Drosophila melanogaster: one gene and its partner. The protein of the gene in region 1 interacts with the protein of each later gene in a pairwise test. Each region holds a gene or a part of one and is shown on either strand. Other genes may lie near its edges. The genes, in order: CG14957 and Nha1.

What was found.
Region 2: the proteins of CG14957 (region 1) and Nha1 interact in a two-hybrid assay, tested with the Drosophila melanogaster proteins (one large-scale study listed by BioGRID).

The regions. Positions count from the first base shown.
Region 1 is NT_037436.4:3,185,743-3,188,772, forward strand, and holds CG14957 (uncharacterized protein), read left to right. Parts: upstream 1-1,820; 5' UTR 1,821-1,836; coding exon 1,837-1,863; intron 1,864-1,926; coding exon 1,927-2,066; intron 2,067-2,124; coding exon 2,125-2,248; 3' UTR 2,249-2,364; downstream 2,365-3,030. Other genes in the region: CG42494 (uncharacterized protein), read left to right, coding at 1-210, 270-554, 607-730; CG32284 (uncharacterized protein), read left to right, coding at 929-955, 1,018-1,157, 1,221-1,362; CG42525 (uncharacterized protein), read right to left, coding at 2,469-2,589, 2,647-3,030.
Region 2 is NT_033779.5:6,867,082-6,872,202, forward strand, and holds the start of Nha1 (Na[+]/H[+] hydrogen antiporter 1), read right to left. Parts: upstream 3,309-5,121; 5' UTR 3,053-3,308; intron 1-3,052.

The DNA of each region.
Region 1 (3,030 bases):
TTCCACCACCGAGATCCAGACAACCAGTACAACCACTCCTAGCCCCATTACCACGACAACCACTAAGAACCCAACTACCACTGCTACCCCAATTACCACAACAACCACTGAGATCACGACTACAGAAGCTCCGTGGAATGCCGACGATATCTGTCAGCAATACACTAAAAACACCTTTTTCGAAAACGAAGATGATCCCACCTGCACCACGTGAATACCCTACTGCTGAAAATTGTTTTCGATGCTAGACTAAAGAGTTCATTTTTCAGTTTTATAACCTGTACAGTTGATAGCGACGGAACGCATTCGACAAAAGTCACTTCATGCAAGGCTAATCAGTATTTCAGTACCAGCTTAAAGGTTTGTACCGCCACAAAGCCGGATGGATGCGTGGAGACGACAACCACTATAGCCACCACTACCCCAACCACCACCACCGTGACCACAACAGCGGCGAGTACCACCACAGCGGAACCCTGGAGTGCGGAGAAAACCTGCCTGACTGTCTCTAAGACCACTTTGTTTCAAAACCAAGACGACCCCACCTGCACCACGTAAGTAGACCACGAATTTCCAGGGAACAACTCACATAAACCATTCTTCTAGGTACCTATATTGTTATTTTATCAATGGATCGGCAACAGCTTTGATAAAGAACTGTAAGACCAACCAATATTTTGATGCTTCCTTGAAATCGTGCAGCGAAAACAAACCGGATTATTGCACCTAAGTCAGACCGTTTAACAGCAGTAATCGATCATTATCAGATTTATTGAAACCAATAAAATATTAGTATAAAACAATCATATGATACCATTTTCTAAAATTGGCAAGATAGGATGGGGAACAGGCCACTACAGTAACTATTTAAGAGCCACGCGGAGCTCTTATGCTTCAGAAAGCAAAAGGCAGTGCGGTTAAGCTAATCATGTGGCTGCGTATAATGTTTTTACTGGTGAGGTCTTTAAAAATATCTTTTACCTGTGCTAATGAAATATATGTACATATATATTTTAGTTGCTGGCTCATTGCCTCACGGCTTTGCCAGCTCCAGAGTTTGACGACCACAACTCGAAGACTTGGAGTGCGGAAGAAGCCTGCAGCGAAGTTACAACCACCACCATAATGGAAAACCAGGCTGATCCAACTTGTAGAACGTAGGTCACGTCTATGGCGTACAATAACCAAAATTATATTATATTTAAATTATACATTATCAGCTACGTTTATTGTTACGTGGTCAATGGATCAGTTTTGTCGTTGATTAAGAGCTGCAAAGTGAACCAGTACTTTGATCCCAATTTGAAAATGTGCCGGTCTGAAGTTCCAGATGAATGTTCTGCAATGGCACCAACCAACTAAATCCCACGGCATCTTTCATGCCACTTTGAACTTCTGCAGCGCCAATAAGCTAGAGCTATATCTGAATTTCTTGGAACCCAAAGCTTATAAATGTTTCAAATCTTGATGCCAATAAAAAGTAATAATAAATTATAGCATTGCAATGCTTTTGTAGGAAGTTTTATGGTTTATACGTTATATGGTTTTCAGCGAATAGATTCATTTCTACATATTCAAAACATCCGGATTATTGTTCTTGACAACACCCAGAGTTTACCCAGAAATTTGCACATATCTGAGAAGTCCATAAACAAAGTACATACGAGTACGAGAACGGGTGACAAAACAAATTAATAAACCTACGCAATAAACATTAATTACATTGCCAAAGCGTACCGAGATAAACGATGCTACAGATTAAATCCTGTGGTATTTAAAGGCCGCTTTGGCGCTCCAAGGTTTCAGTGTGCGAAGTGTAGCAAGGTTAAATTGACAATGTGGACGAGTCTAATTGTATCACTGGTAACTATGCAAGGACTGCACTTGGATCTATATCCCAAATCAAAAGAATCCACCCCATAATAGCTCCTGGTCCACTGCCTGCTTGCCGGGGCCGCGCCTGCGCTAAAGGATCTGGACGCGGGCACCTGGAGTGCGGATGAGGCGTGTCAGAATGTGGATAAATCGGTCATAATAGCGAACCAGAATGACTCCACATGCGTCAGGTAAGCAACTCGGCGGATTATACGGATTATCACCTACTAAATGGAAATTCACTTTCAGCTACGTCTATTGTTATAAAGTCAATGACTCAACGAGGGCTCTAATCAAAAGCTGCAAGACCGGGCAATTCTTTGATGCCGATCTCAAATTCTGCACTATCAGCAAACCAGCGGGATGTGTCTAATATGAGAAAGTCTTAGTTAGAAATACGTTTGAATAGTAATTCACTAGATTTTACATATGTATTATTAATTTATTACATTAAAACCCAAAAATTAAATATTTTTCGATTACCTAAGCAACCAGTGGCAAATTCCCAATCAAAATCCTAGACAGAATCGTTTGGATCATTCTTTATGGTTAACTGGATATAAAATGCATGAACTTTCTTTAATCGTTGAGGCTCAGCAGTTGCTCGGTCGTGTGGATTGACAGGACTCTGTATCCGAATTGTAGTATTCATTGGTGTTGCAATAGTATAGCCAGCCCAGGTAATCCTGACTCAATTTATAGCAGTAGACATACCTAGAAAGTCTAAAACTTAAGGCCAACGCATCTTGAAGTTGATAATAATATACTTGCATTTGACACGTTGTATCAGTCTCAACTCGGAAATATCCTTTGCTCTTCAACTTTGCACAATAGGCATTGGGATCTATTTCCGAAGGTACTGTAGTTTGAACGCTGGTAGATGGTTCAGTTGTTGTGGGCGAAGTACTCGAATCAGTGGTAGTGGCAGATGTGGTGGAATCTGTACTTGAATCTGTGGTAAGTTCAGATGTAGTTGATTCTGTACTCGAATTGGTAGTAACTTCAGATGTAGTTGAGTCCGTACTAGATTCGGTACTAATTGCAGAGGTAGTAGAATCCGTACTCGATTCGGTACTAATTTCAGAAGTAGTAGAATCTGTACTCGATTCGGTACTAATTGCAGAAGTAGTAGAATCTGTACTAGATTCGGTACTA
Region 2 (5,121 bases), on another chromosome or scaffold:
TTAGCACGAGCGGTGCCAAGCCGTTTTTGGCCCAAAAGGTTTTCCTTCACACGCTTCAAAACGCATTGCACAATGGTCATAGCCAAAACCAGTGGGTGAGGGAGGGGTTTGGGTCGCAAAAACATTTACATTTTACGATTTCGAAATTGGACAGGCAACCAATGGTTGGGTGGATGGGCTTGGATGGAGAAGTAGTATCCGTATTAGTAGCAGCTACCTGTGACGTGATTCACTTTCAAATCTGGTCAGACGACAAACGCATTTCAGTGCTTCGTCTTTGGTTTTTCTTCATTTTTTTTTCTCTTGTAAATGGCACGACTGTTATCCCATAGCCATTGTGTTAATCTAATCGATTGACAGAGTTGAGCATTGTCTACGGAACTGCCCAGCAATAGATAATCAGCAGTGATAATAAGGTACGCGCATTCTTACACAATTAATCCCCAAAGCACTTGAGTGTGTGGAGCGTGTAAAATTTGAGAACAATTCACTTGAATCGAATTCAAATGGAGAGAATACACAGTCGGCCATTTCCACGGATTCTTATCAATCGGAGTCACATGTGACCAATGGCGAGGGAGATATGATGATATTGGACACTTGGCTAATCTCCACTGGGCTTTTTCCGGCTGCGATTAGCCGGTTGTAGGACTGTTAATTGACTTTAGCTGGGAAACATGGAATCATGTTTTTCAAGGTGCAAAGTTATTTAATTTTTTTGTGTATCTATAGTTGCTAACAGCTATTTAATTTTTTTGTGTATATATAGTTGCTAACAGCTTATATGGTTTTAGACACACTTTCACAGTTAAATTACTCCTCGTACTTAAGCAATCGCCAGAAATGAAATGGAATATTTCGAAAAATATCTATTAAAGGTTGTCTTCTGATAAAACCAATGATCACAATGATTCTTTATTGGGCGCCAATAAAACAGAGTTTATTACCATGAATCGGTTCCTGTGCGCTTAACTTCAGATTGACGTCAAAGGAGACGTCCTCCAACTCTCACTTAGCTCCAGTCCAATCGTTCAATTGATCAATTAAATGGGTTTTGCAAAGACATTCGATGCCATTGCTCGAAGAAGTTAAGGAAAATTCTTTAAATAGCGCTCGATTGAAGTTATCAAGTGCTAGATGGCATCGGTGGAATCTTTTATGGTCGACGGATTTCGTTGGAGCTTTCACAAAGTTATCTACGGCTGTATATTTGCATTAATTTATTGCAAATATAAAAGACTTTTGCGATGATGATTGATCGCAGCATGTAGAACATTCATATAATATAATATATTCGCGGCTTATCTGACAATCGACGGCGATAGCAAAGGGCGCTATGGCGAAAAAGATTTAGCCATAAAGATCAAATCGAACGAAAGGCTAAATAAAAATCCACCGAACACTCAAGTTGGCGGCTCGTAAAAATCGAAGGGGCCCATGCTAGTTGTGGTTTGATAAGGGGGACGGTGGGGTAGCGGTAAACCCTTATCGGTGCGCCGGACTACTTAATTGGCTTGATATTGCCCTACTACCCCAACTACCGTGTGGCCAAGTGTGGATTGTGATTGATTTCATACCGAATGCTAAATACGCAGACGGGATCGGGTCCCCCTCCTTAAAATTGGTTTCACGATTGCTATCGGATCGCGAAATATGTGTGTGATTACTCCACTTACGAGTGTTTCATTAACAGACCCACTCCACTCGAATCGAATCTCAATCAGCCATGAATGTTGTTTCTATATAATCGGCTACAGATTCGATTTCGATTTCGCTTTCAATTTCCCCCGAGCCCCCTTCCTTCGAGCCATCGAGCCCTCTTTGGATTTCAGTGTGTCTCAGGTGCTTTCCACTGGGGGTTTATCTGCCTCAATTGCGCGAATTGTTTATTAAAACATTATCAATATCTGTAATCCACAGTCGGATCCACTTCACGCTGTTCTACACTCGTTTCGTCTGGCTTTGGCCTTTGTCATTAGTTCCATTGACAACTGCTAATTGTGGTAAGTGTTTATTGGCCCAATTTTCGAGGCATTCGATAAGATTTGGCCCGTGTATCACTCTTCTCGTTTAATTATGCATGTATTTCCTTTATCATGGTGAGACTTCCTCTGCTTATCTAAACCGCACAAATAATGTACTTAAATGATGGGTATACTCGAGATACTGTTTCGGATAGAGGTTACACATTTTGGTAATATTTACTGCTATCATTAAGGTGTTTTTCGGCACGTTTTGATCTGGATCATTGTTTATTCTATTGCAGTGCACAGAAAAGAATTAAAGTTGAGTATTAATTCATATTAATATATAAGTTATATTACTTCGTATCAATGCAACTTCAAAAGACGGAAACTAAATTTGTATCTTTAAGTAACTGAAGTATCTAAAGTAGAGCAATATACGTGCTATATATCTGTGTATGACATGACAGAATCAAAGTTGAAACACTCATTATATGTAGATCTAATTATTCGAAACGTAGATGCAGAAACCTTCTCTTTGATTGTGATACAATGTATATAATATATAATACAATGCACAACCGTTATACGCACTGCGCATTTCCTTGGCAATGTGATTGATTTTATTGATACTGATACGGAATTAATGCGTTCTGAAACTCGTTCACAGCTTACATTAAAGGGTTAACCCGCTTGAGATGTTCGCTTAATAGCATTTAAATGATGATACAATTGGTAGCACTGCAAATTGATTTTCCTCATGCAATAAAATATTCTTATGCATTCATTTCGAGTTCATTAAGAAATCATTCACATTTCATTAATTTCGGTCAATATGCAAATGGTCAGCAAAACGTAAATAAAGTGAAATATATGAGCAAAATTAATAACAGCTCAAAGTCGCAAGCGGGTGTTTTAATCATAAACGAATGTAATTTGCATTTGCACTGTTTTGGCTGCTTTGGCATTTCGATTGGAGTCGCCATAACAAAAAAAAAAACACGTACAGCCAGAAATGTGAAATATCTTAAGTATTTACTTTATTACAGCCACTGAACTCGAAGATGGGAATGAGTGGCAAAACCTACTTTGTATTCACACGGCGGCCAGGAGGAAATTAGGCAACTTTCGTTGATGTTTCAAATCTGAAAGCACTTTGTCACTTTTCGTTGTCTTCGTGTTTTAATCTTCTTCACTTTTCTCGGAATGGCGCCAGCACTCGACTAATTAGAACTCAGTTAGTCGTTCTGCGTTGACTTTTACTTTCATATTCACAAAACGCGGACCACGGAGGCGGAAAACTGTGGCGAAGTCGAACCGCAACCTGGCCAAAAGCACGACTAAGTCGCTGCAAATTCCTGCCAGCGTTTTATAGGCACACACACACACTCACGTCTGTAAACGCGATCGGAAGAATTGAAGCGAATCGAATTGAAACCGCTCTCTTGCTCACCCATTCATTCACGCACTCACTCACTCACTTGCTCACCTACTCACTCTCCGATTTGCGAAGAATTGCCCGAAGTTATGTGGCTGTAAGTCTTATCTTCTTGTATGATCCACCCACCTGAAAATAAAGGTGGCCCAAAGCCCGCTCTTCTGGTAGAAGAGGCGTAAATCAAGGCGATCAAGCAGCCAATGGTGTAAGCCAACTATATAGCTTCATGTGGCTACTGCACTGCCGCGAGTATATCACGAACTTAAGGCCCTCTCGAGTTGTGCGACCCATAAAATGGTCAACAAAATAATTTCCTCAACGCTTCCCAGGCCATAAATTCAGTTGAGAATTTACCATTGGCAAATGCAATGTCATAACTGGTACTCTTGGCGGTGTGAAAATACATTGTTTATATGGCCCTATATGTGACACGAAAAAGTATGCAATAAAAAATATGATTGATGACCCGAGATAACGATTGGTTTTTCTTTAATTAGGCAGTCTTGAGAAGCTCAATCAATCGGAAATCGAAAGCGCTTGATGGCTTTATGGCCACGTTAATCAATTCGTATTGATATGGTCGCGACGTTTCGTTTGCCCATCGTTTGATGAACTTTAGAGGGGATTTGGTAATTGAGTCACATTGAATGCATGGCGGTGGAAAAGTCAATTAGTTAATTGGCGGTCTAATTGACTTGACTTTACAGTGCTCGTCATGCGTATCAATAATACAAATAGCTTCTAAATATCTAAATACTTGCCCAAATATTATATTAGATTAATCATTTGGCGTAAACAAACACCGATAAAGATGTCACTTTGTTTATTTACCATTTGCATAAAACCCAAATGTATGATTTTCGTTTATTTACCTTACCGAATTTCAACTGACAAATCGCGATACACACAAAACTGATAAACGTGTTCTCTCGCAGACAATGAATAGTATTCCTTTTGATATCTGCGCCATAAACCGTGCTTATGTGTCCATAAACTCCTCAAAGATTTCCACTGCGATTCACCTGGGTAAACTAACTTTGATTAGTGCAATATAAGTACATGATATGCGGTATTTGGGGAAAACAATGTTATAATGAAATCAAATAGTGCAAATAGTGCTTACAATTGATAATTTGGTTAAAATGATTATTGTTATTTTTAGCCAGAGATTAATTTGATATTTCTGACATTGCCCGCATAAAGGTATGCCGGCATAGCATTAAAATTGATTTCACTGCTGCCATTTAATATTTATTGTAAATTTGTTTATCTAATTTCCGGCAATATATTTACCTACTTTCTATCTATGTGCATATTGTTTTCGCAACTCATACCAATTTGCAGCCAAAACGGCAAATGGCCGAATCGAATTCAATTCAAACAATCCGCAAAATTGCAGAAATGTATGAACTTTTCGGATGAAACTTCTCTAATTATTTGAGTGGCAAACGGCCAATGTAAAATGCGTCATGACATCGAGGTGGCTGATGAAAATGCGGCTGGGTCAGGGATTCGTGCGGGGTCTCCATAAATTAACTTTGCCAAAATTACAAACATTTTCCCATTTCCCCCATTAAAACCCAAATCACGGTGCCACACACCAGCGCATACATACATACATACATACATACCCGTGTTGGCTGGACGGGAGTGTAGCAATTTCAATTAAAGCTAATTACAACCAATATCGACTGCCAACAATGTCAAGCATCAAATGCG